3 linked regions of the Drosophila melanogaster genome follow. Changing the gene in region 1 together with any one later gene gives a genetic interaction. Each region holds a gene or a part of one and is shown on either strand. Other genes may lie near its edges. The genes, in order: Fbxl4, wake and Camta.

Evidence for each region.
Region 2: of Fbxl4 (region 1) and wake, changing one suppresses a phenotype caused by changing the other (phenotypic suppression), as found in Drosophila melanogaster (one study listed by BioGRID).
Region 3: of Fbxl4 (region 1) and Camta, changing one suppresses a phenotype caused by changing the other (phenotypic suppression), as found in Drosophila melanogaster (one study listed by BioGRID).

What each region holds. Positions count from the first base shown.
Region 1 is NC_004354.4:14,231,434-14,243,145, forward strand, and holds Fbxl4 (F box and leucine-rich-repeat gene 4), read right to left. Parts: upstream 6,491-11,712; 5' UTR 5,891-6,490; coding exon 5,561-5,890; intron 5,507-5,560; coding exon 5,413-5,506; intron 5,282-5,412; coding exon 5,074-5,281; intron 5,009-5,073; coding exon 4,400-5,008; intron 4,338-4,399; coding exon 4,228-4,337; intron 4,176-4,227; coding exon 4,011-4,175; intron 3,945-4,010; coding exon 3,779-3,944; intron 3,718-3,778; coding exon 3,526-3,717; intron 3,462-3,525; coding exon 3,392-3,461; intron 3,330-3,391; coding exon 3,264-3,329; 3' UTR 2,980-3,263; downstream 1-2,979. Other genes in the region: CG42271 (uncharacterized protein), read right to left, coding at 218-733, 1,308-1,607, 1,672-1,830, 1,988-2,108; Dus2 (dihydrouridine synthase 2), read left to right, coding at 6,941-7,148, 7,210-8,172, 8,240-8,490; mRNA-cap (mRNA-capping-enzyme), read right to left, coding at 8,885-9,087, 9,155-9,351, 9,419-9,692, 9,747-9,885, 9,948-10,880, 10,945-11,148.
Region 2 is NT_033777.3:22,635,513-22,645,900, forward strand, and holds the start of wake (wide awake), read left to right. Parts: upstream 1-4,295; 5' UTR 4,296-4,398; intron 4,399-10,388. Other genes in the region: loco (locomotion defects), read right to left, coding at 1,289-3,427.
Region 3 is NT_033778.4:9,441,476-9,451,941, reverse strand, and holds the start of Camta (Calmodulin-binding transcription activator), read right to left. Parts: upstream 5,897-10,466; 5' UTR 5,510-5,896; coding exon 5,431-5,509; intron 2,857-5,430; coding exon 2,258-2,856; intron 2,197-2,257; coding exon 1,668-2,196; intron 1-1,667. Other genes in the region: ced-6, read left to right, coding at 7,259-7,269.

The sequences.
Region 1 (11,712 bases):
CAGATACAAGATACATTAAGTTTTAGGAACTTTTATCGAGCCAAAACCAATGAATGCTTTATCTGGAAACTGGAAAACCTAAATACGATCGCAAAGTGCCACTTTGTATACTTTTCCTTGTCGTTTTCGAAGTGATACTCCAAGAAACCCGAATCCTAAGCACCTATTTCAATGGAACCCTGCTATGCACAAGGTCTATAAGTGCCCCAAATCTCACCTCGTCTGCTGCTCGTTGTGGCTCCACCGGCGCCAGCCGATCCATCGAACAGCTGGGTGCTGGAACGCGGCGGACCATTTCCCGACTGGCCGGGCTCCACGGCAGCGTCGGGTGACCAGGAGGCCAGCGTAATGAAGCCGCACTCGCCGCGCGGCGATGTCAGTGGCAGGCGCAGCCGGCTGGTGTCCTGAATGACGCCCAGGGCCACCTCGGCATGGCCCAGCGGCACGGCGGTGAGCGTCATCCGTTCGCGGACATCGAAGACGCTGAAACGCAGCCGTGTGCTGGCCGACAATCCGGCGCTGCGCTGAAAGCGCATCGTGCACAGGAACTGGGGTGTACGTGTGCGCTCCTGCAGCTCGGTGCGCGCGTGCTCCCGCCACACGCAATCCTCTCCAGCTGTCGGCAGCAGCGAGCACACCACCTGCGGATTGGGCGGTCGCCCCAGCGTGTCCAGGGGCAGGGTATCACAGGAGAGCGCCGTCTCGCAAATGGGCAGCTCCGAGAGATCGAGTTCTGTAAGTAAGAGCAGACCAGGTCAGATTGCAGGCGGGGGAATGCAATGGTTACAGAACGGCAGGTGGCACAGCTAAAGCAGGAGGGGATTGAATAACAAACAACTGGTTAATTTCGTTTAAATTCATTAGCAAAACAAAGTTTATTCCAAGAATAAATTCATAATCACATGGAACGCAATGCAACACCAGCTCCCGATGGGATTACACATAAGTTTACAACATATAAATTCGAAAATGGAGTAATGGAAATCATGGGTTTAGTGCGTTCAATCGATTTCGATTGGATGCAACCGATGCAACAAACGAAAAATGAAATATTAGTTCGATAGCCGAATGTTTGCGATTGAAACGTCTTTGGTTGGACGCGTTGGAATCGAATGAACTCAAACCGGATGTGGTTGCATGGAAGTGAGCGAGAGGTATGTGGTGCAGTGGGTGGAACAGTGACATGGCCAAATATTTGGTTAACAAAACTAAAAAAACAACAACGACCGCCGCGCGTTTTCCGATTGTTTGCGTTTCATTTTGGATTTTCTTATTTGGTTTTTTGGGTTAGAACTGTATAAGATCACCTTCAAACGGCGCCACCACCTCCGTGGGCACGGGCACGGACAACTCCTCCGCCGGCTGGCCGTGCAGCTGTAGCTGCTCCTGCATTTGCTGCTCCAGCGGCATGCCGAGGTCAATGTGATTGCCCATGGAGGATGACGCCCCGCTGCTGGGCTGGCGGCTCTGGCTAACAATCTGTTCCTTTAGCTGGCGTATGAGCGCGTTTAGCTTCTCGCTGGATGCGTGCTCGATGCACTGCACCCAGGCCAGGCGTTCGGCCGACGAACGTGTAATGAAACGTTCCGATGGGCTGTCCTTGAAGTCTGCAACACATAGGCATTTAGTAGTAGTAATCATAGCATAGCATCATTGTGCATTGTTGCCTACCTAAATCGAATACGTAGCCCTCGGAATCACGCTCCTCATTCTGAATGCGCGCACGACAGTTCTCCAGCACCAGGAGGCCGGCCACCGCTGACTTGGGGTCCTTATCCTTGAGGTAGAACAGTAAATTTCCACGCAGTTTACACCAACGTTCAACTCTGACTGTGGGCGGTAGAATTAGGTGCATAAGCCAAGTGCCTGGACAGGATTGGATGTTGTGTGTGGGTGGGTGGGTGGTTGGTTTTGTTCGGTTGTGTGTGTGTTTGCTAATGCATGTGCATGGATGCGAGTGATCAGATGGTAGTGGTGCAATCAATACCTTCGCTAGAGCGCCACAGGAAGCCCTCCTGGCGATCGGTGATGATGAGCAGGCCCTCCTTGTCGAATCGCGTTGCTGGATTGCTGGCCAGGGAGTTCAGTTCCGGCTTGTTAAAGCGCATGGCTGCTTATCGCTGGATCTAATGGATATACACAAATGCCACACAATTGGTGGCCGGACCACTCGTTTAGCAACTCCATAGATGGACGGGCACGCCCGCAAAGCGTCGAATGCTCGGGCCACATCAATAATTCACGGCAATTACACGATGTGTACGTGCTGCTAGGGGGCGTGGCCGGTGGAGGAGGCGGCTCCCTAACTGGGTACACACACACACACACACATACATACCTTCTGCTCCTCCCCCTCTCCTCCTTCTCCACCTTTATTTTTTTTGGTCCTGCGACCTCGTTACTTTGTTGTTATTGTTGTTGTTGCTGCTGCTGCTGCACAGCTGGCTGCCAAACGCCCCGCACTCCGCTGGCACTCACAATCGGGCTACTCCTGGCCAGGAGCTGGGTCATCCGTCGCTCCGAGTGAATCCCCTTGCCCACGATTGCAATTAATACAAGCAACTAATTGAATTTAACAGCTAATTTTGATAAGCGCACTGCGCTACTGTTTCTGATTGGAAAATAAGTTGGAGATGACAGCTGGAGGTGGCAAAATCGGTCGTGAGTATCGAATGGAAGTTCTTGATTTCCAATGTTACGATGAAATGCAAATTTAGTAATGCAACCTATATAATATTTCATTTAAATATATATATATTTATTTATTTCATATTTGATGGCATCTTTATAACAAAAATTATTCTAATTGGAAAATTAGCGCTGAGCAATGCAAGAGTGTGGTCACACTGTTGGCAGAATTTACCGATAGTATCGATGTATACTTATAATCAAAATAAGAAATTGTAATTCTTGCTTAAAATGTTAATGCAAGCAAATGAAATTAATAAATATCCATATAGATTAAAACAAACCAATTTTCATCAATAAACAAGTGCATTTATACGCAACTTTTGTATTATAATTCTCTAATTCTTAGCATTAGTTCAAGTGATTAAAAAATCGCCCAGCTTAATATCAAATGTTTCATATTCATAACAGCATATATATATATAACATTTTACTATAAATGAAGAGGGAGAATGTCACATACAAATATGTGGGATCTAAAAGTACACTTAGCATTGTACTAGGCATAATTAGTGTAGCTACAAGGACTGGATTGTCCCATTTCCGGTTTCAATTACGCCATTTCCGTTTCCGGTTCAGTGACGTCGACTGCTCTTGATGTCCACTTTAAATTGTCGCGACCATTCCGCCAGCAAATCGAACTGAGTAACAAATGGAATTAGCTAAGGAATAGAAGGTGCAATTCCATCGAACATCTACTCACATCCCGATCCATGATGTTGTCACAGAAACTCAAGTCCAGCAACTGCAGCTTGGGACAGTTGACCAGAATGCTGAAATCGAATCGAATTGAATGCTTAATGATCTTAAAGTGATTAAAAAGGAAGAGAGACGTACTCATAAACACGCTCATGCGTTATGTTCAGAATGCCCATGAGGTCAAGCTGCTCCAGATTCTTGCCCAGCGCGGCAATATGCATGAGATCGCGTTCGGTGGTGCCGCGCACCGCCGACAAGAAGAGCTTCTTTAGCTTGGGACAGTTGGACAGCAGCTGGAACAGGCCATCTCCGAGCGATGCCTCCCTCATGCTAAAAGAACAGAACATGTTTAACTTAAGGATTATGCAATTCCATCGCGCATGACACCTACCACCAGCCCAGATCCAGTTCCTCCAGCTGATGGAGACGCGCCAGCGATTGCAATCCTCTGGACGACAGAAAGTGCGCCTTCCACAAATCCAGCGAGATCAGCTGCGTATTGTACGTGGCCAAATGGGCGGCCACATTGTCCATGTTCACCGAGACACCACAAAATGCTTGAGCAATGGGCATCAAATGCAATTGGTTAAACGCAACAAAACTGAAGCTATCTAGAAGCTCACCCAGATTCAGATGCTTTAGCTTGCGATTGCCCTCGAGCATGCTGAGCAGCAGTTCCGTTTCGAAGTACGTTTGAAAGAGATCGAGACGCTCCAGATTCTTGAGATTGGCCAGACAGGAGAAGTTCAACAGCGGCGGTTCAGTGGCACAGTTGCGCAGGCTCAACTCTGCGACGAAATATTAAGTTAAACCTTCGATAAGGATGCGAGAAAAACCCACCTATCAGATTATCACAGACAATGCCCACATTCTCAATGCAGCTGGCATTGAGAAACTTGCAGGAGTTCAGACGCAGGTGGGTTAGATTATCGCCGCGTTGGGTCAGGAATCTGAAACGAGTGTTCGAATTTTAGTTCTAGTAGCTCAGTATGATTTGCTAGCATGTAACCACTTCTTGAACTCGGTGGGCGAGACATTGCCAAAGCCGCCGCACCAGGACAAATCCAACTTGCGCAACATGGTGGCCCGACGCGCCAACGTGCACAACAGCTCCGAGCTGGCCACATCCCAGTAGGGCTTCAGGCTGATCTCGGCATAGAGCAGCGGATGCCTGGAGATGTCGTAGAAGGTGCGCGACACGTGACCCACGCGGAACAGCGACTTCAGGTCCAGGTAGCTGAGTATGCGCAATAGGATCTCGAATGGCAGATCCGTTAGACAGATTTGTGGCGCCGCCGCCTCGCCATCCACACAATTGTCCGCCAGAAACTGACTAAGATCGTTGTTGATGAACTCGTGCAGCTTGGTGGCACCGTCTTCGCCGCAATTCGGCTGGAACTTAAGGGTGCGCAGCTTGTGGCTAATTGATCCGCCACTGCCGTCGCCGGACGTTGAGCCAATAGCATCCGGTGGCGGCGACACTAGCGTCCGGCTGTGCTGCGTAATTTGCTGCTTGGCCAGTAGGTTTTGCGTTTTGGTGACCGTTCGACCGCACAGCATAATGGCATCGATTTCCGTATAGTAATTGAGTCGGCTGTGATTGAAATCGATGCGCAGCGTTCTGCCAAGAAGAGAGTGCGTGCTATATATTCCAGTGTTATGATACCACCATTGTCCACTACTTACTTCGTTAGCATCGTGGTCTTCTTCAGTGACGGCGCAAAGCGACGCGAGTCCAGTGGCGGCGGTCGGGAGAGATCGCTTTCCGTTGCCTCCCACAGGCAGGTCCAGTTTTTGGTCAGGCCGTACGCCCAAATGCGTACAACGGCGCCCGGATTGAAGGTCTCAAAGATGGCCACTTCGGTGGGCACTACAAACTCCTCGAAATAAACAACTGCAAATCGATAATAAATGTTATGATGATGAAATTCTATAGCAATCACAACCTTGCGCAAATTGAGCTAGATATTCTGATGCAAGTGCAAGGGTATGTGATATCCGGCTATCTTGAGCTAGTCATCTTACCAACATAGTCATGTGTTTCCAACTTCGGCAGATTCTGGGGCTGAATCTCACGCGTGGCGGACGGTGCCCGTTGCCACCAGTCGCCGTAGGTGCGCTGCGGGCGAGAGTTGAATGGGTACCGTGTACGGATGCTTCTGCATGGACTCACCATGGGAAAGGTCTCCGGATAATCGCCATAGGCGGGAAATTTCGTTGGCCTGCCAATCACATTGGCCGCCGTATACGAGATGCTGTAATCGATGCCATACTGTGAACTGAAATCGAGCACGCCCAGCACATATTGCTCGAGATAGTAGCCCTGATCGGATTGCGTCGTCTGCATTTTGCTGTCGCAACCGAACCAACCGCCGTAATCGCCGTTCTGCCTTTGCCGCTGCAGCATGGCCGTAAAATCGACCAGTACGTCCGGCTCCGCCTCCGCCGCCGGGCTGTCCGTTTCGCTGGACTCTGCTGGTTCGCCGTAGGCCAGCAGGGACATGGCCAGCGCCAGCTGCCGTGGGCGCTGGCCGTAGGTCAGCCTCAGTGTATCGACCGCCGCCTGCAGGCTGCGCCCCAGTCCCAGTTCCCCAACCGCGTACCAGGGCACGCGTTGGGCATAACCGATGGGCCAGAGTCGCGGGAGCCACTTGTTTCTCCGGTTCCTCGGCTCGTCCTCGCCTGGCTGCTGCCGCTGCCGCTGCTGTCCAAGGATTGCCGCTGCTGTGTCCGGGCAAATTGTGCTCCTCGAGATGATCCGGATATTGAGCTTGGCTGCGCCGTCGACGTGGATCGCCTAGCTATGGTCACGTTGCTGGGCCAGACCTTAATGGCTCTGGCTAGCGATGTTCTCCTAGTTCTTCTGCGCAACTAATCCAATTAATGGCCACTTGCGGAGTCCTCTTTGGTTTGCAGCTTTATTCGCGCCTCGCCTTGTTGCTCTGTTCGCTGTCCGCCGACCTCTGACCTCTGCTGCTTTGTGCTGTGTGTCGCGCTTGGGTGGCAATTCTCTCGAGGATTCGCGGTTATTCAGCAAATTTCTGTGCCAAAACAAAAACAAAAAACTTTTGGCTTGCTTGGTTTAAATGACAAAAACAATACTGCTATCGATAACGAGAAAATCTATCGAAAAATAGACCGTGAATACAGAAGTATATTTTCGAAAATACCAAAACACACCAAGCGAAATTGCTATAAGAACAAAGGAAAGGTATGTATATATATGCAGGATAAATATTAACAATGCCTATATTTTAGCTTGTAAGCAGCTGATTTAAATTTTTGTTTTTAGACATTATAATAATCAACAATATTCAGTAGGCGGAATACAATCAAACAAAAATATGCAAAAATATTCACTAGCACAAATAAATCATATCTGCATAGAATATGCAGTTCTTCAATAATTATTCAATCATATTTATATGGCGTAGAAATAGTACCTTGCATGACGGCTCCACGTGTCGTGCAGTGTCCGCCATGCGCTGACGTGCAGAGGGCCCCAAATTGAACGGCGTGCAACAGCTGAATTCGATTCCCGCGATTCCAATCCATGTTGCGACTGCCGACGATTTTAAGGAAGTCCTTCAGCATGAAGACGCGCCAGAGGCTGGACTACCGCAACAAGCTCATACTGGCGCCAATGGTGCGCGTGGGCACGCTGCCCATGCGACTGTTGGCCCTGGAAATGGGTGCGGACATCGTTTACACCGAGGAGCTGGTGGACATCAAGCTGATCAAGAGCATACGCAGGCCGAACCGTAAGTGGACAGAGCTCCAGCCAACTCAGCATACTTCATCTATTTGCATTATACCTTTTAGCCGCTCTGGGCACGGTGGACTTTGTGGATCCGTCGGATGGCACGATTGTGTTCCGCACCTGCGCCCAGGAAACCTCACGGCTGGTACTACAAATGGGCACCAGCGACGCTGGACGGGCTCTGGCCGTGGGCAAGCTGCTGCAGCGCGACATTTCCGGTCTGGACATAAACATGGGCTGTCCCAAGGAATTCTCCATCAAGGGCGGCATGGGCGCCGCCCTGCTCGCTGATCCCGACAAGGCGGCACACATATTGCGCACTCTGTGCTCCGGCTTGGACATTCCAGTCACCTGCAAAATACGCATACTGCCGGACGTGGAGGGTACAATCGATCTGGTGCAGAAACTGGCCGCCACGGGCATCGCTGCCATTGGCATTCATGCGAGGACGCGCGACGAGCGTCCGCAGCATCCTGCCCATCCCGAGGTACTGCGTGCCGTTGCCCAGGCGGTTGACATACCGATTATCGCCAACGGTGGTTCGAAAAACATGCACTGCTACGATGATCTGCGCAAATTTCAAATGGAATGCGGCGCCGATAGCGTGATGGTCGCACGTGCGGCACAGATCAATGTTAGCATCTTCAGGCCGGAGGGCCTGCTGCCCATGGACGAGCTAATCGAGAAGTATCTGCGCCTGTGCGTCGACTACGACAATGCGCCGCATAACGCCAAGTACTGTGTGCAGAGCATACTCAGGGAGCTGCAGGAGACGCCGCGTGGCAAGCGTTTCCTTCAGTGCCAGACGCTGCAGCAGATCTGCGAGATCTGGGAGCTGGGCGACTATTGCCGCCGCAAGCAGCGGGAGCTAAAGACGATGGGCAACTCGGGACGGGCGGAGGTGGAGCCACCGGAGGCGCTGGCCAAGCGACAGAAGCTGGAGGATGCGGCCATTGCCATAACGGACGAGTACGACGGCATCATTTGCCGACACATGCCATTCCTGCGCTCCACCTATCCCAGTGGTAAGTGTTTCGATCAATCTCTTGCCATGATAGCCATCATCCCCATTCGGTATTTTTCATGCCACAGATAATCATCTGCCGAAAACGCAACTATATGTGCATGCTGTCAAAACTGGCAAATCCCCGCCAGCGTACGAAACGCAGCAGTGTGACAAATTGTTTCGCTCCATCTGCACGTACGATGGCCAGCGCTTTAGTAGCTCCTTCTGGGAGAAGAACAAGAAGCAGGCAGAGCAGGGCGCCGCTCTGGTGGCCCTGCTCCATCTTGGCCAGCTGGAGGCGGAGGTTCTGCGCGACAATGGCAGCCTGCTCAACTGAGCAGCAAAGTTCCTCCTGTTTTATGTAAATGTCATCCATTTTGGCTATGTTTTGGACACCATTATTTAGTTGTTTTTTTTTTTTTTGATTATTGCAATGGCTGTTGCAACTGCCTTAGGTGCTGGGAGCAGTATCTGGACTACCTCCATTGGGTTAACAAAGTTTGCATCTGAATAAACAAAACTGCAAGTGTGCAGTGCTTTAAATATATGTATGTATTTAGATAAATAAATTATATGAGCTGTTTTAAGTTTATAAGGAGTACAGCTGGTTGGAGTGCTCCTAGTACTAAGTAATTCGTAGTTCAGCTAATCCAAGAAAACCCAAGTTCACACAGTTTTTCGGTACATAACTCACGATTAATTTTATTCTTTCTTTTTTTATTACGCTCTGATTAATTTCCTAATGTCGGGTTCACGCAGGGACGACGCTGGTGTTGGCCATGACCATGGGGATAAAAGTGGTTATGGTTGTGGTTTTGGTTATGGGAATTGATCGGCGGCGGCATCATGACATGATCATTCCGATAGCCAGAGCTTGCGATAAAGTTTAGTAGGTACTCCTTGGTGACTGGATGCTTTATGCTGTCCACAACGGCTGAAATTAAGATGAGTTGAGAATGAGTATAGGGATCCTCCTACTGCTGGTGAAGATTACTACTCACAGCGGGCTGTATTATAACTGTTGGGATTCTTTTTGTCCGTTCGCTCGCGCATAAAGTCCCAGTTGCCAAACTGATTCATGGTGCACTCAACGATTCTGTTGTCCAATTCTCTGGTCTCCTTCGTTAACCTTTGCATCCGTCCATAGGGTGCATCGTGTCCGCCGACATAGAGGAAGCCCACCTTTTTCGTCAGCAAGCTGCCAGAGGCGGAGAATGGCATGGTATGAATTGAGCCCGTTGAACGGATAGATCACTACAACTCACCCCTCGCCGCGCTCTGTTATGATCTTCAGCCGAAAGTCCACCGAGTTGAGCTCATGTGGCTTCCATTTGAAGACATCGGAGCATGTGCCAGCCGTGTAGGGCTGCTTTGATGGCTGGAAGATGAGGCCATCCGGTTCGTGTGCCAGTGTCCGCGAGAATTTCTCACCCAGCAGCCGGGCAGACATCCAAATGTCCCAGAAGTCCTTGCCGCGCACACTGAACGCCTGCAGCCGCTGATTGATGATGCCATGCTTCATGCCCAGGATTCGGGGACCTGCAGCGATATATGGATGTGTCCTTCATAAACGAACATCGAATAATTACTCACCTATAACTTCCGTCTTAATGTAGTCCAGTCGATTTGGATAGAATGGCTCGTCCCGCACATCGCGATTCGATAATCGCACAATGTCGTAGATGAGGTAGCGCGGCGTTACGGTCTCGCCGATCTTGTCCAGCACCATCTCCTAAACGGACAAATAGAACGATAATTTAGTTGCAATCAGGAGTGCCAGCTAGAATCACATACCCCGTCGACGAGAGTGCCGTCGAGATGCTCGTTTAGGTTCCTGCTCTCCACAAATGTCACATTCTCCACCTGGAAACAGGAGTGATTGCGATCGAAGAAATATACCTCGTCCCTTCCATCGATGAGCATCATATAACGTGTACCGTCCGCCTTCCACGACACACGATACGGTATCTCGCTTAGCCGCTTTATGTTCTCCCTGTCCATGGAGACGGGCTGTGCGCCAGGGAAGCCGTTCTTCTTCCAGTCGCACCAGTCCTGCACCTTACGCTGCAGATCGCCCAGTCGCGGCTGATCGCTCACCTGTCGCACGCCCGGCACTCCCGCCATAAAGGTGGCATTCTTGATGATCATTTCGCGCCGTCGCTTCTTACGCGGCTGACCGTCCGACGTGGAGGCGTCACAGTCGCCGCCCGCATCCTCTCCCTCCACCTCCTCGGCGTCGTCATCCTGCTCGCCGGCCTGCTGTGACGTGGATGAGGAGTTGTCCTGCACAAAACCATCGCCGTTGCCATCATCATAGTCCAGGCACCAATTGGGCTGTTCTGGTGCCGCTGGAGCGGCATTCGTGTCCTCGTAGCGTTTGTACAGCTCGTTGATGTAATCCTGCTTGTAGATGCCCGGCGGCCGGGCGCTGGCAAAGATAGCGAGCGCTGCCGAAACGGAGCAATCGAGTCGCTCGACCAAATAGCAGACAATCAGGAAGCCAGTGCGATTGAAACCGTGCGTGCAGTGCACGGCTATAACGTCAAATGGACGTTCGTTAATAAAGTTGTCCACGATCTCGATGAAACTGTGCGTCTGCTCCGGCGATGGCGTCTCGCCATGTCCACGGCACTGCAGCTTAATATATTTCGCGCCGAGCTCCTCCACTGCGGATCGATCGTAGAATCGTTTCGTATTGGTCAGGTCAACCCAGAGGCCCAGTTTCACCTGAAACCATAAGATGGATTGGATAAGTGAGTTGGAAATTGGGGGATGTTGCGTTTGCATTCACCTTTAGCGTTTTGCAGTATTCGAAGAGCATCTCGGGTTGAAAGGTGCACTCGATGGGCATCTTGTCGTGAAAGTTATTGCTCAGCGGGGTCTTAAAGGCCAGGAAGCGTTCCGCAATGATGGTATCGCTCTTGCGCGGACAGTATAGCCAGCGATTGGGCAATGGACCAGAGCCCCGTTCCCGATCCCGATTAGTTAGGGCCATAGTGCCACAGTGGCTCCGCCTCTCCTGCTCCTCCTCCTCCTCCTGCTGCTGCTGCTGCTGCTGCTGCTGCTACTGCTGACGACGATGGAAACGGCGGGCGCAGCGATGGGACGACGCCGTTGCGTTTGTGTTAGGTGGTTTATTGCTGGTGCAGATTGTGGTGGATGCAGATGCAGCGAGAACTCGCGGGCCTGGGAATTCTGTGTAGGATTTGTCTAGAGATGTGGAATATATATGTAAAAATATCGATATCTTATTTGTTTCCCTTTTTATAAAAATAAATGATATATATATATATAAGATATCGCGTTTTTTGCTAAATATATTTTTCATATTTCTTATTGGTCACACTAATATGCAAGTGAATTCAAATAAGAAAGACGTTAATAATAAAACGGAAATAAAATGAGCACAGCCAGAAGTTATTATTCTGGAATAATCGACAACAGCGCGACCTGCAATGTTTGTAGCAAATCTAGTTAAATCTTTATATCTTTTATCATTTTAATGATTTTATTAAAAATGATATATCATCGAACTGTCCAGCCAAATTATCGATGCGTC
Region 2 (10,388 bases), on another chromosome or scaffold:
TACTGACTTATGCATAATAAGAGTTCGATCCCACTGTTTTTTTTTCTGAACTTTTTGAGAAGGGTGTATCATCGATCAAGTGGGCAGCGATAAGTGTGAGATATATCCACAAATCACATATTGTCAGCTTACCTCGATCTCCTTCTCCTCGGAGTACAGGCCACAAACGAGTTCTCGAAATGACATTTTTGCATCGAGCTGATCACTTTTGTTGTTTGCCTGTGCAAAACAATTGCACTTGCAATTTTTTTGTTTGTGTTTTTGTTCTTGCTTTATCGTAATGACAATTTATTTATATTTATTTCAGTCACAACTGCTGACGAAGCTCCTTGAACTGGCGTTGAACTTTTTATGGAGCAACTTTTTCACAGACGGTTATATTATTTATATTTTCATTTTAATATGCCCACATCGTGTACTATGTATTTAGTATAAAACAAATACACGAGGGAACAGCAACTGCACAGCGAGACGAAAGTGAAACCGCCGCAAACGGACGACCGAATCGCACAAAAATCGTACAAAAAAATCGCGTGTTGTCAAATCGAAAATCAAACTAAATTACGAGTACCCGATGTGAATTCTGTGGAGGATTGGGATGTGGGGGCCGATCGGAGGAGCGAAAAGGTCAGTCGACATCGACGCCATTAATTGCTTTAGATTGAATTAAGCTCGAGGCAGAGGAATCGACGGCGGAGGCAGCCGCTCGTGATGGAGCTCCACTGGTGATCGGCTTCAGTCGTGACCTACGCCCATGACGTCATTCGGCTCGGAGCACTTTATTTTTAGCCAGCGACTTCCGCCCTTATCAACCATGACGCGTTCGAATCCCCAAACCGTGATAATACCGATCGGAGCTGCAGTGTAACGGCCTGGACGTAAATAGTAACTAAAATCCGGCGATGTCCGTACCCGAATCGTAGATAACGGAACCGTGGCCACCTATTGCCAAAGCCCAACTGTGACTACCAAAACTCCGGGTAAGCGGACAAAGGAATGCCGATATATGGCCCACCAGACCACTAGAGAGAGAGAAAGAGCCCCTTATCTGTGGGCCCAGAGAGCAGGAGGAGCAGTGTGGGGCGATAAGCTCCGAGAACGCAGGTAACTTGGAGCGGCGTCCAGGTAAACAGATTTCTGCCCGCGCACAGGAGCGGTTCACATAAGCCGAGGGTTGTATGGGTTAGATTTGATATAAAATGCACTTATGATTATATTATAGGTATTCCCAATCATTTCAAAAACTTATGATACATGTAGGATAAACAAAAGGATATGCTCCACTTACCCCCAAATCAGGTTCACTGTTCGTAGCTTCTAAAAGGCAGTGGGAGGACGAGGAAGCGGACATGCTGGTCCGATCCTTGTGCGATTTGTGCAGATTCTGCAGGCTGGCCCACGTGTCCATGGTCTGATCCATACATGCACCACTGACCGACGACTGCACACTGTCGATGGCTTCGAAGCCCAGCGAATGACGCGAGCCAGGTTGACCAAATACCTGGGCACTCAGCTTGTGTGGCGTTGTTGGCGTCTCCAGAGCCAACGATCTGCGCATCTTGCGGGGCACACACGCTGGATGGGCAAACGTGTGGCCCTCATCGAGCGATGGAGCAGCCGAGTGCAGCGAAATGTCATCCATAGAGGCCACGGCAGCCAAAGTGCGCGGTGAATCGTCGACAAAAAGATTAAGGACATCATCACAGGAGCGGGTGGATGTGAGATTCGTGGCGGGACTTTGGATCAGATTGAAGCTGGCCAGGAGATTGGGTCGACGAAGCGAAGAGCTCGCTGGCGGCGATCTTAGCAGGGCGGAATGATCGGGCATGGCCCGCACAGTCAGTCGATTATCCGGTATTCCCACTATGCCCAGTGGACGAGCAGGAGCTGGATAAGTTGGTGGTCCTGCATGTGCCGCCGCCGCTGCTCCCGCTCCTGCAGCTAGGAAGTCCACAACCAGAATGCGATCCGAAATATTCGTACAATCGTTGTTGAAGCCAATGCCCGAATCCGAATTGGACGTGGTGGTGGAGATCTCGCTGTGGTTCGATGGCTGCGGCGAGTGGGCAGCTGCTACTGCTCCTCCAGCTGCGGCGGCTCCTGCACCCGCCTCATAGTCTGCCTGATGACTCCGACTTGCCGGTGGGAGAATCCGCATGGTATACATGCTGCGCACGAGATTCACCACATATTCCGAGTTGTTAGGGAACTCGAGACACAAATTCGAGATCGGATCCCGGGTGCACTGCAGGCGGAACTCGTGGGCCCGCTGCAAATGCTGTGCATGTTCGATCAGCTTGGTGTCGATGACGAAGACATGGCAGCTGTGCGAGATACTGATGTGACCAGCAGCTGCTGCGCTGCCAGCGCTCGGCTCGTACTCCTCCTCGATCTGTGTGTTGTGCACGGCGCTAGTGACCAGACCAAAGAATCGATTCTCGCTCTCCGACGAAGAGCTCACGAAGTTCAGCCTGGCCGAGGAGTAGGTGGCCAGCACTCCGCCGCTGGAACTCTGCAGGCTCAAGCTGTCCGGCGTGATGCACATCAGCACAATGGTGGGCTGTCGCTTCTCCTGTCTCAGTTTTCGAATGCAAGATCGAACTGTCTGCAGCTTGGAACTATGCGAGATCTGCTTGGGCATCTCGATGGTTCCCAGATAGCCAACAATAACACGGCACTCCAGTGCAGCACTGCCCACAGCTCGCACCATGGCACTTACATTGGCCACATCCGCTGCTTTGGATAGATTGGCTGTCAGAGGCGGATCCTCCAGAACGGGTTTTAATGTAGGGTGATCGGGTGATGACTTTGATTTGTGCGGTTCCACTGCCTCTGGTGGGTTTAGCTTCTTTTGTGGCGAGTTGCGCAATCTGTGCAGTTTGGCTTTGTGGTGTAGAAACCTGGGCTTGTGCCTCAAACTGGCTGCCAACAATTGACCCCTCAGCGTGGCATGGGCGTTCTCCTCATCCGAGCTGTCGGAATAATAATTCTCGGCGATCTGCATGCGAATACTGCCAAAGGAGTTGCCAATGAGCTGCACCACTGTTTCGTGTGGCAACTTGGAGACATTTAGACCGTTGACCGATATGAGGAAGTCACCGGAACGCAGGCCAGCTTGCTCGGCAGGTGAGCTGCTGATGATGCAAGACAGCCGACATGGTTGCTGCCCGGAAATGGTGAAACCGAAGCCATTGTAACCACGTCGCACTTCCACGGTGCGGATGCCATTGTAGTTGTAGTTGGCTCGCTTCTTGCGACGTCGCTGATGCTGCTGGCTGTTGGATCCCGAAGGCGTGGTTGAGGTGCTTATGGGGGCGGGCCCACTATTCGCAGCAGGTGATGCATCCTCCGCTGCAGCTGCTCCCGTTCCCACGGCTGTGGAGCCACTTGCTCCGGTTATGGGCAAAGGCGGATGATGGTGGTGCATGGCGCTTACTGTGTGGAGAAAACGAATGATGAGGAGTACTGGCCAATCTTAACCCACATCTGGACATTTGTACGCACCTTTCTCATGGATGGAAGCTGCAACCTGGATTTCTGGAAATGGAATGCGGTTTCTGTTGCGCCCCTTTTTGGATGATGCCCCCTCTCGCTCGCACCCGTGCGTCGCCTATGCCAACTATGTAATCAATGGCACACACACATGCGCACCAATGGCCAGGCGTATTTTGTTACACTTTTCTAGGCCTCTAATTAATTGATAACTAACTCTTCTTTGGGTGCTACCTCATATTCACGCGGTTAATAACATCGTTGTAACTTTATCAGGCATATTTGTAGCAATTAATTGTGTGTAAATCGGTAATTAAAATTATGTCTACAATGCGCAAGCGTAACTATGATTAGAGATGGAACACACTAAAATGTTTACTCGATACTATCGATATTACATACCTTTTGTGAAACATCGATCACTTTGACACACCATATTTTTAGTAATTACTGTTAAAGTTTTGCAGAATGTCAACAATTTTTAACAAGCAGTTCTAGAGAAAATTTGATTTGTTCAAATATTGAAGGCATTGACCATTGATAGAAAAACGATATTTACAAATTTGAATTAGATAAAAACAGGGCTGCCAGACTCATTGAAATTTATGAAGCAATCGTTGCCACACTGGGCTGACCTTCGTTGCATAGCAACGAACTTTTGTCACATCCCACTGCCGTCAGTTACTTTTCGATTTAAATAAAAGCTCCGAACGCTCGTCCTTTAAAGTCCTTCCGGTGAGCTTACATCTGCGTAGCGTGTTATTTGTGTTTGGCCCACGCCGTTTCAGTTACATTGGGACTTTCAAACGCATTGGTTGAACGCGCGCACCCAGAACCGCTGTTGAATTAGTTTTTGAACCCGAAAACAGCAGTTAAATTGCTCGAGTGAAATGTAAAATGTTATTGGTAAACGGATCGAAGTGTTCGAAGTTCTAACGCTGAAATGTTTAAGGATTATCCGTAGCAAGACCTGCAGAAGTGACCCCAGTCAGCCAGTGTTGAACCAATTGAAATGTTGGCAAGGACATTACGGACAAAGAATAGAAAGCCAATAGAAAGCAATGGGGGTGGGATGTTGCGGAAACGGAAGTGCCAAATTGAAATGCCATTTAAGCCAGGCGAGCGATTTGCCCGTCTTCGTTTACGGCTCATCCGGATTCGTCTGCGTCTGGTCAGGGCACTCAGATTTCTTGCGGGGAATGGATTCGAGAGCGCGGCAAGTGCGATCCCCAGACGACACTTGGCGTCGCTCTTGACATTGATTATATTCATGAGACCAAGTCATAAATTCCAGCCCGACTGTTTACGAGGATTCTAACACCAATCCGCTGTCCCCGATTCCCGGTCTCTGCCCAAAGATGTGGCCAAGTTGCGACTGGAGTGCCAATAAAATCATTAACTGTTGCAGCGCATTAAATTCATGGCCCAGACGATGCTGCCGCGCTATTCAGGCAGCAAACATTGTCATAAAACCTCGGCCCATTCACGCCATATTTCATTTCATCTCCTCATCTCCATCTACCTCACATCCATCTACCTCACATCCTAATTGCCGAAGGTCCTGAGTCCCGTGGGCGTGTGAAAAACTATTAAAAGGCCGTTGGGCCGTGCATCGTGGGCCCATAATTAATGGCGACAATGACTTGATCGGCCGATAATTAATTTATCGTCATTTATATTGCCAAACTGACTCGACGCGCACATACTATATATGTGCTATATACATGGTTACCAAAACGGTTGGCGATCCCATGGGAGCTCGTAAATTGTCCAGAAGTCTAGTTCCTACTTCACTTTAATTTCTTGGCTAGCGAAAGTTTTCTTTTCAACTAAGCCCAAGTAAGTTTCAGTTGGTTCTATTGTATTATTTTGGCACATGCTTCATTCCTGCTCGCCTCTCACATAGTTTTGGCCACAAATTAGTTTGGCAGTGGATTTTGTTAGCCACTAGGAGATGCCGAGCATTTTGCATTCCCATACCAACCGACTTTTCGCCTGTTTTGTCCAACTATTTTGCTGCTGAAAGTTGGCAGGAAAAGTTTCTCAATTGCGACGAAGAAATCAATTGGAAATGATTGAAACCTAATTTCCCAAATGGACTGAATACATAAATCAATAAATTATGTCCCCTCGAAGATGGGAATCGACGGAAGCACCTCAGTCATTACCGAAAGTTTAATGTATTTAAGGGTTAATAATATCGATCGAACTGATTTTTGATTGATGAATGTCCTGTGAATTTATTAATGTCACCATTGTTTGCTAAGTGTTTTGTTATTTGATTATAATTGGGGCTCATGAAAGCATTTCATTGGATCGTATATTAAAGAATATTATTAATATACAGTAATAAAATGGAAAACTTTGATTGAATTTTTTCCATATATGTACAAAAGTGTCAAAGTTCACTGCTCGCATTCATGTTTGTGTGTGCTCAAATGGTAAATCTGACCAATGTCATCAATATTTCAACAAAAAAGTAAATATTTTCGCTTCACTGAATCGCAGTGAACCGTAAAGAGCAGTAAAACTATGCTGATAGCAAGCTTTGTGTCTATGACATCCAGCTGCACCTGATGAAAATCCGCCATTCTATCCGCTTAGGGATTTAATTCGTAAACGTCTCACTGGAAAATTAATAGGAAAATACGCAATTTTCACTGGAATGCCAACTTTCACCCCTGACATCTTAGAATATACTCTTTTTTTTTTTTGTGGCATTATCATACCCACACTTTTTGTGGGTCCTAAGTCGCCGTCCTTGTCGCGATTTCGGAAATTGTTTTTACCCACATTTCATTTGTTTCCCAAACTTTCTGCATTGCGCGAGCGCCAAAAAAGCAAAAAATTGACACAATTTAAACTTTTCTATAAACAAAAGCAATGCAGGGCAGCCAAACAGAAAAGGTTAGCCAAACGAGCCATTTGTTCGCGCTGCTGTTTACTTCCTTTTTGCCCCAAATTTTTCCCCTTTTTAGCTGTCGTGGTTATTTTTTCGTATACTCCAGTTTATTACAGAACTCACAGAAATTAATGCTGCTGGGGTTTCTGGAGGGGTTTTTTTTTTTTTTTTGGCTTTTGTTCAAATTTGTCAAAAGGAAAAGGCTGACCGAAAACGTTTGCTTCGTCCTTTATTTTTCCGCTTTTGGTTTCTCAATTTCGTTTAAATTGCGCACATTTGAAACAATTTGCCAACAGCAAGCGCCCACACATGCATTTTTTTTTTTTAACAGCAGAATGCATTCTGCGGCTTGGCAGAGATTTATGCAGGCATTTCATAAAGCTGACAACATGGCGTATGATTAATATCGCTGCCTGTTCCCTGAATTGCTATTATGCTGCATTTAATTAAATCTGCAAGCGATGATTAAGTGCTTAATTTTACAGGCAAGAACCAAGTACTTACAAATACTTACCTATACATATATATACATATATATATATATAACATTGCTATTTCTGGGCGCCCGGCTTCTTGACAACTAAGATTAATTGGTATTGCCACTAAAAATATAAACAAGGAGTTCTGATATTATACCAAGTGCCGGACAAGGACGTTGTTGTATATACTATATGTGGCATGCTCTCAATAAATTTAAGCATTTCATGACAATGACGTTGCAGGCGATGCGTTCCGAGAATTCCGACTATACGTGTGCATATTGCATATGGCTGTGTTTGGCCTGGCTGACATTTCTTGGCCTTTTTTGCCCTGGCATATGTGCGAAAATGCCAACGTTCATTGCAATGCAATTAATGAAGATTGCTGCAGCTGACGCGCACTTTGCATGAATACAATGTGATGTATGTAAAAATGCCTTTGGCTTATTTTTGGCAATCTAATTTGCAATTTCAGTTTCATTTAGCAGTCAGACTAAATTCTAGCAAAATGATGTTCAAAGAATTGTGTTCTAAATTGTAGAATATTGCCTATATTTTCGTAACCAACCAATTTTTGGTTAACAACAAAAATGAAAACAATGTAAGCTTCTAAAAATATTATTTATTTAGTCACTATATTTGCTTTTTATTGCTTTTTATTGCTTTTCTCTTAGCATTTCATAACGACCGGCCTTCGTTTTAATTGATACAAACGCTTTATTTACATTCCCTGCTTTTTTTTTTTGCTTGCTCTTCATTTCACTTTCAATTTATATTCATAGGCCAATGCTGGGTTCTTTTATTTATTTCTGGTTTTTATGCAATATGAATTGCGTACGGCAATTAGAATGACATTTTGCTGTGCCTTTGTTTTGTTGCGGTTCGCTTTTAATTACACGCTCTCTCTCTCGTTGATACTTTTAATTAAGGCTGCTAATTAAAGATGACAGCTAAGTGAAAAGGTAGTGAAATTCTCGCAATTTCCGGCTTAGATATTAGCAATTTCAAGCAGCGCGGAATCGAAGGTGGCACATTTCGCTGGACCTTTATCCCCCGCCAAACCATTAGTATGATATCCTTGGGGCTTATCGCAGTTCTTATTACCAATTCGGTTGCTCTGTCTGCTCCACTTTTGTGCTTGATTAATGCCCGGGATGTGCATTGGATTGCGCCCGGGATCTGCGGCGCGGCGGTAAGACAATGGCAGGAAAAGCTGGTAACGTTGCCCATTGATTTGTGCCACCTGGCTGGGGAAATGGCCTCGGTTGCCCAGCGGAGACGCATCGTAAATCATCAATGTGAAACTTGTGCTGGCAGCACTTGCTTTTGCAATCGGCCTTACGCTGAAATCCGAAATTTTCCTACGAATTTTCTACGATTTTTACCCTGGCCCAATCCGGCTACAGTGCCTGTAGCGATTTAATGGCTCTCATTTTTGTTTTGGCAGCACAAAGTTTTCGCTTCGATTCGACGCGATTCGTTATTGGTAACAATTGGAAAGTTGGCTGACTTTATAGGCAAATTTTTCCAATTCAATGCCAAAAGGTGCTCGAGGGCAAATCGTAAAAAGTTTGTTCGGCTTCTTCATCCGCATTTTTATACTTTTACTTCTTCATCATCATCATCAGCAGCAGCAGCAGCATTATTATTATTCTTATTATTCTTATTATTATTATTATTCTGCTGCTTTTCATACACGTACAACAACGGAAACATTCATTCACGCGAACTAATGAAGTGTCAAAAATGGGCGCCCCGAAAAGTGTGCTACGCTTTTTTCGTTTTAAAAATATTTCGCAGTCTTGTGGGGCGGGCGAGCTAGTGTGTGTGTGTTTTGGGGGGGGGGGGTGGTGTGTCCTGTGACCTTGGACTGTAACTATGAGCGAGTGCCGACTAAAATAGCTCTATAATGCCGAGGCGGGCGGTCCGTTCATAAGTGTGTGTGTGTGTGTTTGTCTGCAAATGTTTGCAGTTGAAGGCAAAACGCGAGCAAACAAAAAGCGATTCTAATATGGATGGTACTTAAGTTCCGTCCATTTGTATCCCATATATGTGTATAAATAAACAAACCAAACTAACGTAACCCAATCGCCGTTGTGCCAGCAAATCAATTTGTTTTGATCTCGCTTGGCTGCAGCTAAATTACAATTACACTCGGCTGCCTTATTTTTAGTTGCACTACCAAATGGCAGGAAAGTTGAACTTAACTGCAGAGTCCTTGTGGCTCAAATTGAACGTAATTGTCTTTCGCTTGCCAATATACCCAGCTCTCTGGTTTCCTTTGATGTCCTCAGCTCGAATAAGTTTCATTCGCCTTGCTTTATTTGGGTTTGCGGTTGATTTGTATATCTATTTGGATATACGAACTTGTTTTTTTTTTGGCTGTGCAGAGAGAGAAATAGTTGTGTATCTAAAAAAAATTAAATAAATATATAAAATTTAGTTGTTATATATATATATTTTATAGTCAAAAAAGGCAAAAAACACTAGGTACCCAAGAAATAAGTTCTTTTCCAGACTTGTATCTTTCTAGACACTCTTTTTTTTTGAGTGCACACGTAGTGTCCTGGCATCGATTTGGTTGAGTAAGCGGCGGTGGATTGGCTCGTAGGGAAATTACATTTGTAGATCGTTTAGGCTCGACACAACCGCCCTTCCCACGCATCGCAGACTTCGCACATGGCCCTGTCAATATTTGGCTAACTTGAACACCAAACCGCTGGGCGTTTTGGGAATCCCCCTGCCAGAAGGAAGACAAAAATCTGTACGTCTGTCATTTTTTTTGTTGGGGGGGGATGCTGGTACTTACGGCTTTAATGTGGCCCAAAAACCGATGCTTGCTCGGGATTTGTTTACTGAAGCGCGAATCTGTTTTATTTTTTGCTGTCGTGGGACTTGTTTTTTTTTTGTTTTTTTTTGCCCCTGCCCCATCCGTTTTATCTATCTCACGTGTTCGTAGGATATTTGCCTTTGAGGGGATTTCCCAATCATTTTTTTTTTTTTGCCTTTCTACCCAGGAAAAGGACTAGTTGCCGTGCTGCGTTCGCCAATTTGCGTTTGTGCAAAAGCTCAAGCCGACAATGCCAATCATCACGCATACGCCGTGTGGCCATTTCATACCGCTCCCAGAATAACGAGCTATTGCCGCCCAGTTGATCCGTGGCCATATTGTTATTCGGTATTTAGCATAAATGCCCATTTGGTTGATTTTCACTCGGGGTGTGTAAATTTAATTACAAAATGCAATTTATTTCGGGTAGCCCAGTCAAGTCGACTGCCAATCAGTTTTTTTTATTGAAAATTGCACTACTTCAAAACGGGCAGAGTGCTTAAACACGCACAGTATCTTGCTTGCTATCTAATTTAACAATTATGCTAACGCAGGCCAAAATGGAAATTTCGTGTTTGTGTTTGCCTTTGCCAATTCTCTATTGGCAGTGAAGCGCCTCGCTTGAAGGGCTAAACTAAAGCATTAATTGTGTTTATCTCAAATTCCATTTGCAAATTGCCTTTTG
Region 3 (10,466 bases), on another chromosome or scaffold:
ATCCACATGTGTGTGGGGGGTAATTTGTTTAATTTGCTTGCCTTTCGGTCGCAAAAAAAAAGTGATAGAAGAGCTCACCGAAAGGCAAATTTCGTGGCTTTATTTCAGTTTTCTTTTTTTTTTTTTTTTGAAGGTTGGCCGCCTTTTAGCTAATGGCCATGGTATGAACGAATATGATAGGATAACAGGAGGAACAACAACTGGTGCCGACTAAACTAAAGCCAAACTAAATTAAAATATTTTAAATTCAGAGGCGGCCAAAGTTTTATCAATAAAATGCAAGCGGGCAAAGTCGTCTGCTCAGTGTTATTTTTTGGCCGCTTTGCTTTTGCATTTGTTTAACTGCAAATCAGATAGAGATCTTCTAAAAGTCTGCATTCAACACGGATATAAGTACACATACCTACAACATTCAGTCGAAAGGCAATTGAAACATCAGCAATACTTGAGCGTTGCAATATGTCGACAGCTCAACAGCCCGACAGCCCGACACCCGCACTAAATGGGATGTTGCCTTTGGCCATAACTCGAATCGGGCTTAAAAATCACTTAGACACTTCGCCCATCGTTCTGGCCTGTCAGCAGAATCGCCAGCCAAGACGACACTCGTGTATCGAGTGCAATAATCATCACTGCTCCCCCACGAGTGCCGAATTTCGAATGCCGCCTTTTCTGTGGACCTCAGCACTTTGACATTGCCCGTTTCCCTTCCAGGGCGTTGCTCGCCAAACGTGGCTAATCTGCGCCCTTCGATCTCCAAGGCATTTGCTGAAAATTTATTAAGCTCTGCCAAAATGCATGGGCAGGGTGCTCAAAGTAGTTGAACCAGTTGAAATGGCTGAAATGCTACTCGAAATAGAGGATAATAGAATAAATCTTTAAGTTCATAAGCTTTGATTAGGCATACTTATATAAAGTGCTAAGTATTAATCACATTCCAATCATAAATCATTTAAATAACTCGAATTAGGCTTTTACTTAGCAATTGTATATATCGAATTTCCCAAGTTGCATCTTTCAATTGGTTCAAATTGGCATCGTTGAAAGTCTTGAAAACTTTACGCCCAAAAGAATTGATTTGTTTTCATTTCATTTTTGCTGTGTTCCTCAAGAAATCATTGAGCCGGGCTCCACTTGCCGAAACTTTCTGATAACTCGTAACTTGTTACTCAGCGCACACAGCACTAATGAAGACGGCACACACACAACAAACACAATAAGGGGTGTCTTGTTGGCTGTTTGTTTTCCACTGGCCAAGAGCAGAGCACCGGTCACCAGGGAGCAGCAGGCTGATTCAAGTGTTAAAATCAATGGGATTCACAGCTGAGTGCAGCTGAAGCCCCTAAGGGGGCGGTCAAGACGTTCCTCGATTTAATTGAATAATTGTGAGGCAGGCCACGTTCGCCGAATTCCTGGTAAATCAGCGAAAATTCCGTAACTAAACAGAAATAGAAGCCAGTCGTCCAGAGAGAGAGAGAGAGCGCCCCAAAATAGGCAACAAAGATGGGGCACAAAAGCCCGGGAAATCTTCAGCCAGGAGACTGCGTCAGGCTTTGTTTTTCGGTCCCGATGCAAATGCAGCTGCAGCTGCAACACCTGCCGAAAACCCCGCCAGCAATTTATGCGCCGCATTTGAAATTCGGTGATACCAAATCCTCGAGACTTACCGTTCCCAAGTGGCACATTCGTTTGCGTTGTTGTCGATTGTTGCTGTTGCTGCTGCTGCTGCTCGCTTGTCACCGCGTTGGACAATTTATTTGATGTTGTCGCTGTGGCCGGAACTGGCACCGCTGTGGTTGTGCTCGTCGTTGCCTCCAGCTTGCTTGCTCCATTAATGGCCACCGTGGTGGCGCTTTTTCCCAGCCTTAGTATGGTGGTGGCCGTAGATGATGTTGCTCCGGCTGATGAGGCTCCCCCGCTAGTGGCTGTTGTGGCTGCTGCCGCCTTGAGCTTGTGCAGCGCTCCTGCCACGCCTTTGGCCGCCTTCGTGGTGCGCGTCACGCTTAGAATACTTGAGGTGGCAAGACTGTTGCCATTTGGTGGCGAAGTGGCCATGGAAGTGTTGGTTGCAGCGGTCGACGCCGTGGAGTTGCGTATGACCAGTATGGATTGAGACTTCTCCAGACGCTTCAGCGTTTGCAGCACAAAGGGTGACTTGCTGTCGCAGTTGCTCTCGGAACTCAAGCTGCGTGTGGCCTGTAAAAGTGATGGAACAAGTTGGTAAAATACAACACAAATGTCACTGCACATCTCTTACATGTTTTAGCATAAAGGGTCTCTCCACCATCTTGGTTTGCGTGGCGTTGGCCTGCTTGGAACGCTCTTGGGCCTTTAGAACGCTCTCCAACTGACTGGCATTGATGGGGGTTTGCAGAAGGATCGTGTTGCTACTGGCCTCCTTGTTGTTGCTGTTGGCCACAATGGAAATGGTGGAGCTGCTGCTGCTGCTGCTGCTGCCGGCTCCACTCGAGCCCTGCACAATGGTCTTTCTAGCCACCGTTGTGGCCGTGGGCAGCTGGTTGAGCGTAATGGCCGTGGAGGAGTGACTTTTCTCCTGCTGCTGCTGCTGTTGTTGTTCGCTGAGCAGGCTAAGAATGTCCTGCTTGTTCTGGATGATGATCTGGCCATTTTCGTTGCGTGTGCCGCGCAGCAGGATGATGTTGCCGCCACTCGTGGCCTGATGCTGCTGCTGGTGTTGCTGCTTCTGCTGTTGCATGGCCCCGATCTTGAGCTTGGCCGCTCGCAGAGTCGTCGTTGTACTGGTTGTTGCTGCTGGCTTTGCTGATTTCGCTTCATTGCTGCTTAGCTTGCCACTGCTCTGCGATCGGATCAAGACATTTTTGGAGGTGATTTGGCCTAGAAAGGAATAACAAAAGTAAATCAGTCTTAAATAATCAATTCAATGTACATACAATATATAAAAGGTATTTATCCAGGTAAAACAACAAAATTAAAAATGTACATCCTAGAACGTCTGGATGTATAAAAAGAGTAGATCTTATTTATTTATTTGTAAGTTATCTAAACAGCGTGTTGGTTTCATTTTTGGTGTAAGTGCTCCTGTAACATTTTGTTCTCGATTTCTCGAATTGAGCAATTTCGAGTGGCCCCAAAAAACGGACAGCCCCATTGTATGCAAATTCAATGGAAACTTCATAAGCGGCGCAAGATTTATGACTCCATCTTGATCGAATTTGGAAAGCCTTGCATTAGAAGCGCATGTGACAGGGGAGGCAGGAGGCGTGGCTGCCATTGTTGCACTTTCCCAGGGTCCGTAAAAATGAACTGAAAGGGACGTCGAGCATTACGTATACGCGACGTATGCCTAGAGCGGTCAGTGGCTCGGACACTCTATTTTGTTGGCCAACAAATGGGGAGGATGGGCGGTAGCCAAACGCTAAATCAAGCGAAAGACGACATGTTTATGGCAGGGACGAAGGACTACTTAGCCGACGAGCCCCAGCACAAAACGCAATAAAAGTGCAACAAACAAACAGCGAGTTTTCAGCCAAGAAAGGAGGAGAAAGTAATGGGGTAGGTTCACGGGTGTAGGCAAATGGGGGTCTCTGCCCTGGCATGCGTTGCCAAATATAGACTCTCAAGGCTGAAGGCGACACGGAACGTAAAGTGCGCGCCGGAAACATTTCGAAATGTAGCCTAAACACTTGTCCGGCTCCCCTGCTTTTCCCGCCTCCCCCCGCCGCCGGCATCCAGCACCCTTTCCTGGGTATTTCCACACCCCCAAAAACCATGTGTGTTTGTTTTCGCAAAAACGTGCGGGTCATAATTAGCCGTTGACGCCGCCTTCAGTCGGCTGTGCTTTGGGGAAAAGCGGAAAAGCAGAAAAGCGGGCAGGGGAAAGCGCCACATGCGACCATCTGACCCCAAGTGGACAAGTGTCTGCGCCCCCTTCGCCTTCCTTGGAGTGTCTGTGCAAAAAGGTCGCCTGCCGCCAGGCAAAATAAACCGCCTGAATTGGACCAGGATCGGAATAGAATAGGTGGGGCCACTGGCTGTTGGCTGGCCATCCATTCGAGCGCACATACTTCATTGTAATGTATGGCAGACCAGCCACAACAGCACGCAGATCCCAGGATTCGGGGCACTCGGGGATCAGGCAGCCGCGTAACACATAAAACACTCTTGGCTGAAGCTTCGCATATTTTTGCGTTCGTCGCGGCTTTTGATGTGCAACGATGTGGACAGTGGGCACGACAATTGTTAGTTTAAGTAAAAAAAAAAATATACAACATATATATAATAATGAAAACCAGAAGATAAAAACGGAATTTTGAATGGAAAATGATTTTGTTGTAATTATTTTAAAATTAATTTGCTTTTAATTCGTATTTATTTTTAAGGGTTTTTCTCATGTATAAATGCTGTTAAAACCAAATATTCCTATAATAGGAAATATCAATTTAATTGAAATATTTTTTGTTTTTAATTCTTTTCTTTAAATTTTGTTTGATTACAGGATTTTGAAAAAAAAAAATCGTGCTATATAATCCCACTGTTGTACTCCACGTGCTTTACTCCACTTGCTTAGCTGGGAAACTGGGGGGGAAACAAAAGTTTCTGGGTAGCTGGACAAATTGCAAGTCTATTGAATTTTTATTAGAAGCATAAATCAAAAAGCGTTAGATTTGCCAGCTGGGGAAAGAGTTCGATAAATATGTCAATAGATTCTGCACATAGATAGCCGACAAAGGGTTAAGAAAGAGGACAAATCAAAGATGAACAAACCACAAGAACAAGAACTTTGATAGGCTTTATCAGTCTGCAACTGATTATTACTCTGGGTCTAGACATAAATATTTATTATTTAAATAAAGTGGTGAACGTCTTGGATTTTTTTGTGACCACTTTCCAATCTTTTAAACAATCATTGTTTATAAACATTTAGGTCACTAGTTTTGTGTTTGGAAAAGAAATGTTTCCATTTATCTTATCTATACTCATGAATTTATGACCAACTAAGAGTGTGTTATTAACACTTCTAAAATTCGAAGCCCGCCAATCGGTTTTTACGAGCAGAGTTGCCATATTTATGTTTAAAGAATCCAGATAACAGCTGATTGCGTCCATAGGAATTTCCAATTAGACTCTCCCATCTTTAAACCAGCTTTGCAATACCGTAGATGGGCGTAATACTAAAGAGATTTCAGTATTGACAGGAAAGGCGTAATATGGCACAGCGGCCACCAATGGGTTAATGGCCCAAAGAAACCCCCAACAACGTGAAAACAAAACGCAACGCAAAGCGAAACACAACAAAACAAAAACTAATTGGAAAACCAATATCGAGGAGAGCACGACTATCAGGTCGAAAATCGGGAGATACGTGGGCTACAGCACAGATATAACTTACATATATGCATGTAGAAGAGGGATGGGTGATAGGGGTAGGGGGAGTTGGGGCTAACTTACTTTGGAGTTTCAGTGTGGAAGTTGAATTAGAAGTAGAAGAGGACGAAGCGCTGGTGGAAATATCGGGCACATTTTCCATGTGCACAGCTTTAACAACCAATTTTAGAATGCACTACTCTCTTAGCGGTTGGCACATTTATTTCGCTTTATTGAGAATGCATTTTCATTTTTGCACACCAGCTCGCACGCACACACACACAGGTGACATGGGCGCTCGCACACGCACACAGCGACACCGAAATCGCAGAACTCTGGGATATCGAAAAAAGGTAAACAAAACTTTTTCACTGCCTCCCTGTGCGCAAGCCGTGGAGTCCCTTGGCGGATTTCGATGTGCTTCAGCTGGACGATGCATAAAATGCAACAAAAATCAATAATATCACCGTTTCACACACGAAATTATTAAAAAAAAACGATAGCGAAAATATTTTGAGCTACTCCAAAACTGTGTGCATGTCAAACTGTCAAACATATGACGGCAAAGTTGCCAGATGTTGCAAAGGGCGAGCTCCCACAAAACTTAACGACAATGATTTCGAATTTTTTAAAATTGATAACTTATTATACAAGAAAGCAAGAATACTTTACAAGCCAATAACCTTGTAATCTTAACCTTACAAGTCTATGTTTGATATAAATTAGTTTAAACTATATCTAACCATCTGGCAGCACCCCAAGTGTTCCACTTATCGGCTTATCGGTCAAGATGACAACTCCAACATTCAATTATCGGAAATCGGGCACTATATTTAAAATATCGTATTGAATTTCAAATCCGGGTTTTGTTAGTCATTTTTTATACGTTTTATAATTATTTTCTTTCTGTTGAATTTTAAACTCCGATGTATCCCGCCGTGTCCGCTGTTTACCGCCGACGTCCAGCTGACGGTTCCACCCTTCTTTAACTTACATATGTATATGTACATTTCAACGAATCTAGTATACCCTTTCAGTCTACGAAAATTTTAATCTTAGTTCAATCAAATGATGTATATTAGTATATAGGTACATAGTCGATGGCCTCGGTTATATTATCTTAAATAAATAAATAATGAAGGATTGATGAATTTATAATGCATATTTGTCTTAAAAACGCTGAGATTGGTTTGCTTGGACGTGAGCAGGAAGTTCTATTCCTGCGACTTTTGTTAGAACCCAAGGAAAATATTACATACCATTCTAGTTCTTAGCTTAGTTCAATCATAAAGTTATATGTCAAAATCCTTTAAGAGGAGCATGCAAATGGGAAGTAAAATGGGCGTAAAATGTAAATGACATTTTGTGTAATTCGCATATGTACATTTGTATATTGTAAGCTATCAAAATATATGTATGTTTGTATGTATGTACAGCCCTTGAGACCGCCCATCATTGATAGGCAACGACTTTCGCCGAACTTTCCTTGGATTTTTCCAGCAGCCGACCCCGCGGTTTTCCGACCCCGCCTCGCTTCCCTCCGCTTCCCGCGACCAGCGGAAGTCTCGGGGCTCTGGCTCTATCAAAATCAACGGGCGGGGCGACTGAAGCGAACACAGAATAATTGCCATAGCTGTGTGCCAGTGCCAGTCAGTGCCAGCAGTTTGAAATCGACGACAACATCAGCAGCAACAAGCATTGCAACAACAGCGACGGCGCGGTGATAAGTCGGCTGCTGGCTGTATATTGCCGCTGGCTTGTTATTTTATTGTCGCTTTTGTTGCACATTGAAAATAATACACAAAATAATTGAATTACTCGAAATGTGTGCATGTCCGTGTGCGTGCCACTTGTGTATGTATGTGTGTGTGTCGTGCCTTTATGGGGGCGTTCAGGGCCCCGCTGATAAGCGATGATCAAGAGGTAAACGAGATAAGCGCTGCTCATTTGGAAGCACAGGCAACACGCGCTAAATGAACCCGCCAACTTGATAATCCGCGATCCCAGAAAACAAAATATTTGTCTTCTGAATTATCTTGTAATGATAATTTGACAGTTATTGTATATTAAGAAGGTCAATGTTTACTTATGGGAAGCATAATAAAGCTGAAATTAGAATTTTATGTTTATATCTATAGTTAGGATAATATGATATTCTCTCAATATTGCTACATTACATTGCTGGCTATAATTTAGGCATTGGAATTAATCCGAATCGCGTTGCTTGTTTGATTTGCAGCTTTGAGTTTCTTATTTACATATGTATATGCATTTTGTGGCACTTTGACAGTACTCCCCACTTTTGATTTCCTACAGTGTTCCCCGTGCTCGTCGACATGTGATAAGGAGCGTGAGGTGGAAACGTGACTCTCGGCGGGGCGGGCATCGGCACGTAAATTATGCTGATGACACCGGCTCCGCACCCAGGCTCTGAAAAAGCTGAAAAGCCCGAAAAACTGAGCGAGCGATTGCGCTTGAAAAATACCAGCACGTTCCTACGAGCTGCAAAGCAACAAGAATAACTGGCTTCGGCTGCCATTTTATTGCAGCGCACAAATATTTACAATACCATTTAATGACATTTCGCCTTATAAAACAATGAGTGAGAAACGTATTTTCTGGTTTCATGCATTTTATTTGGCTAATTGGGCCTTTGAACTCTATTGCTTTGATGATGAAAACGACGCCAAGATAACGTCATGTGCGACGAAACAAGCATTCGAAGTCACGCCCCCTCAGGACTCCCCTCAGCGCGCCCAACGAGCATACGCAGTCAACGCCCCTTGGCGACGATAACAATTCAAAAGAGACCCCGATCAAAATGCAATAGCGAGTTTTTAAAAGCCATTATTACTTGCAAATGGGGGGCAGATCGAACGCCCCCTCAATAAGTGCACATTGAACCATGTTGTTGGTGCCAGTTTCGCTGAGCCCTTCTAGGTTCTCCGTAGTACGAAAAATATCTATGTACTTATGTATAAAGCCAAGTCTCGTAGACATTTCTTCCAAGAAACACAATGTCGTTAAACAAACCTTTTAAAAATCCACATATGACTTCATTAGTTTGTTGCAAGCTTATGAATACATTCAATGTAGTTTTAATGAGTGGAAGCGGTTTAACTAGCAAGGTTGCAGTTTGAAAAGCCCAAAAATAGCGTTGCCCTTTGTTGCATAGGTCACCCTGTTGCTCCACGGAAAATCTCTCAATGAAAAGCCGTTCGGAGTCTTCCTTTTGGCCGGCGGAAAGGAAACTGGTAATAAAATTACAGCGGGAGAGAAAATAATAGCTGCAATATCTGCTGTCGGCGGCGCAGCTAGCGGCCTCTAACTGTAAATGGCCAATATTAAGCGGAGAGAAAAGCCGAAACAGGAGCTTAAAAGTCCGGCGAAGAGATAAAGAGAGAGAGATCGCGGTGACAGAGAGCGGGTGTGGGAAAATTGTACGTATGCCCAGATGCAGCGAAACGACAAGGAGAGTACTGTGGGCCAAACAAAGTTAAAATTCCCTGGGCCAGGAGGAATGCCTGAAATGATCTTATTAGTAAAGTTTTCCGTACAGAAACTTACTTGATCTTTAAAAAGCTGTTTATTCCCGTTTAAGGGTTTCAACCTCATTTACAGCCTTTAATATCGTTTACCTAGAAACCGAACAGCTATTAAATATTAAGTACCATAAGCTATTTGTGGTTTTCAGGCTTTCACGCCAATTTATTTTGCTAAACGGCTTTTGCATTCCACAGTGCCTGCATCCAAACTGAAACTACAATTGCAGTGGCCCCACACACACACATACCCTCATCACGCACACTCCTTTATGTCAAGCCGGTTTTATTTTGGTTAGTGAAGAGAGAGGGGCGGTTAAAGGGGAAGGGACTGCAGTTAAAATGTGGCAAAATGGAAAAGGAAAATGTGTACTAGAAAAATGCAAGGCATGCCACCAAACAATAACAACACCACTGCAGCATCGAAAGCAACAATTGGACACCGAATAACGACAACAATAATCAAATCCTGGTACATTATTATATGGTCGACTTGGGGAACCAGTTTTATTGCAATTTGTATTTGAAGCGGCCAAACAGCCCCAGAAATTACGTATTACGAAAATAAATAAATTTTTCTCTAAGCTGCTTCTGCTTCTTCGTCTTGTGCGGCTAATAACAAAAACAACGGCAATGCTGTGTCTTTGTTTTTACGTCAGGTCGAGATTACAAGCATACATATAGCTATAAGCAGGTTACATGTGTGTGAGCGCACTTCCCCCACCTGTTGCAGTAATTTTAATTGGCCAAAACCATTTCGGTGGAATCTCGAGACAGTGCCGTATGTTCTGGCATTTGTGGAAAATCATTTTTCTGGCAAAATGTAAAACAATTGAAAAGCAACAGGTAAACCAGCAGAAATACCCACACACACACATGCGGGCATTACTAAGCAGACATATGTTTGTGTGGCAGTGAGGCTCCAACCGCAAAAGAGAAAACTACAGCCGATCACGTTCTCACCTACACAAAACTCGTAGGTCATTTTGCTGGGGCACAACGACTTCAAGTGCATATGCCCTCATATTAGCTAAAAAATAAATCCTTTAATTTTCGGTAATATTCGGTTTTTTTTTTAAATCAACAAGCATTAAAATGAATAGTTCAATTTTTATATTATTTTTAAATGAACTTAAAATAAATTTTTAGTATAGCGTTTAATAATTTGTTACAAACGAGGAAAATGTGTCCGTCTGTATTTAACAATAACTTATAAAATATTTGTTCCATTTTTAAATGTATTAATGTTTATGTTATCTTTTGTCTTGTCAACTTGTTCTGATAATGGTGCCACTTAGAATGTTTCGACAGATGACTCATCTGGTGTAGGGCGTCTACCAGCTTCCCCTGGCCGACCTTCCTGTCCAAGAACTAGTTTTACATCTGAAGCCTCTGCTCTCTCTGGAAGTGCATCCAAGCCGGAGAGAGAGCCGACGCCGACTGCGCAGCTTGGAGAGCCGTGTTTTGGTCGCAATGGCAATCGCTGCCAAGCCAGTCAGTTTGTTGATGGGCGCGTGATCGGTAAATCGAAGTAGCGGACCGTGAAGGTGCAGAGGATATTCCACAGAGCACACTGTT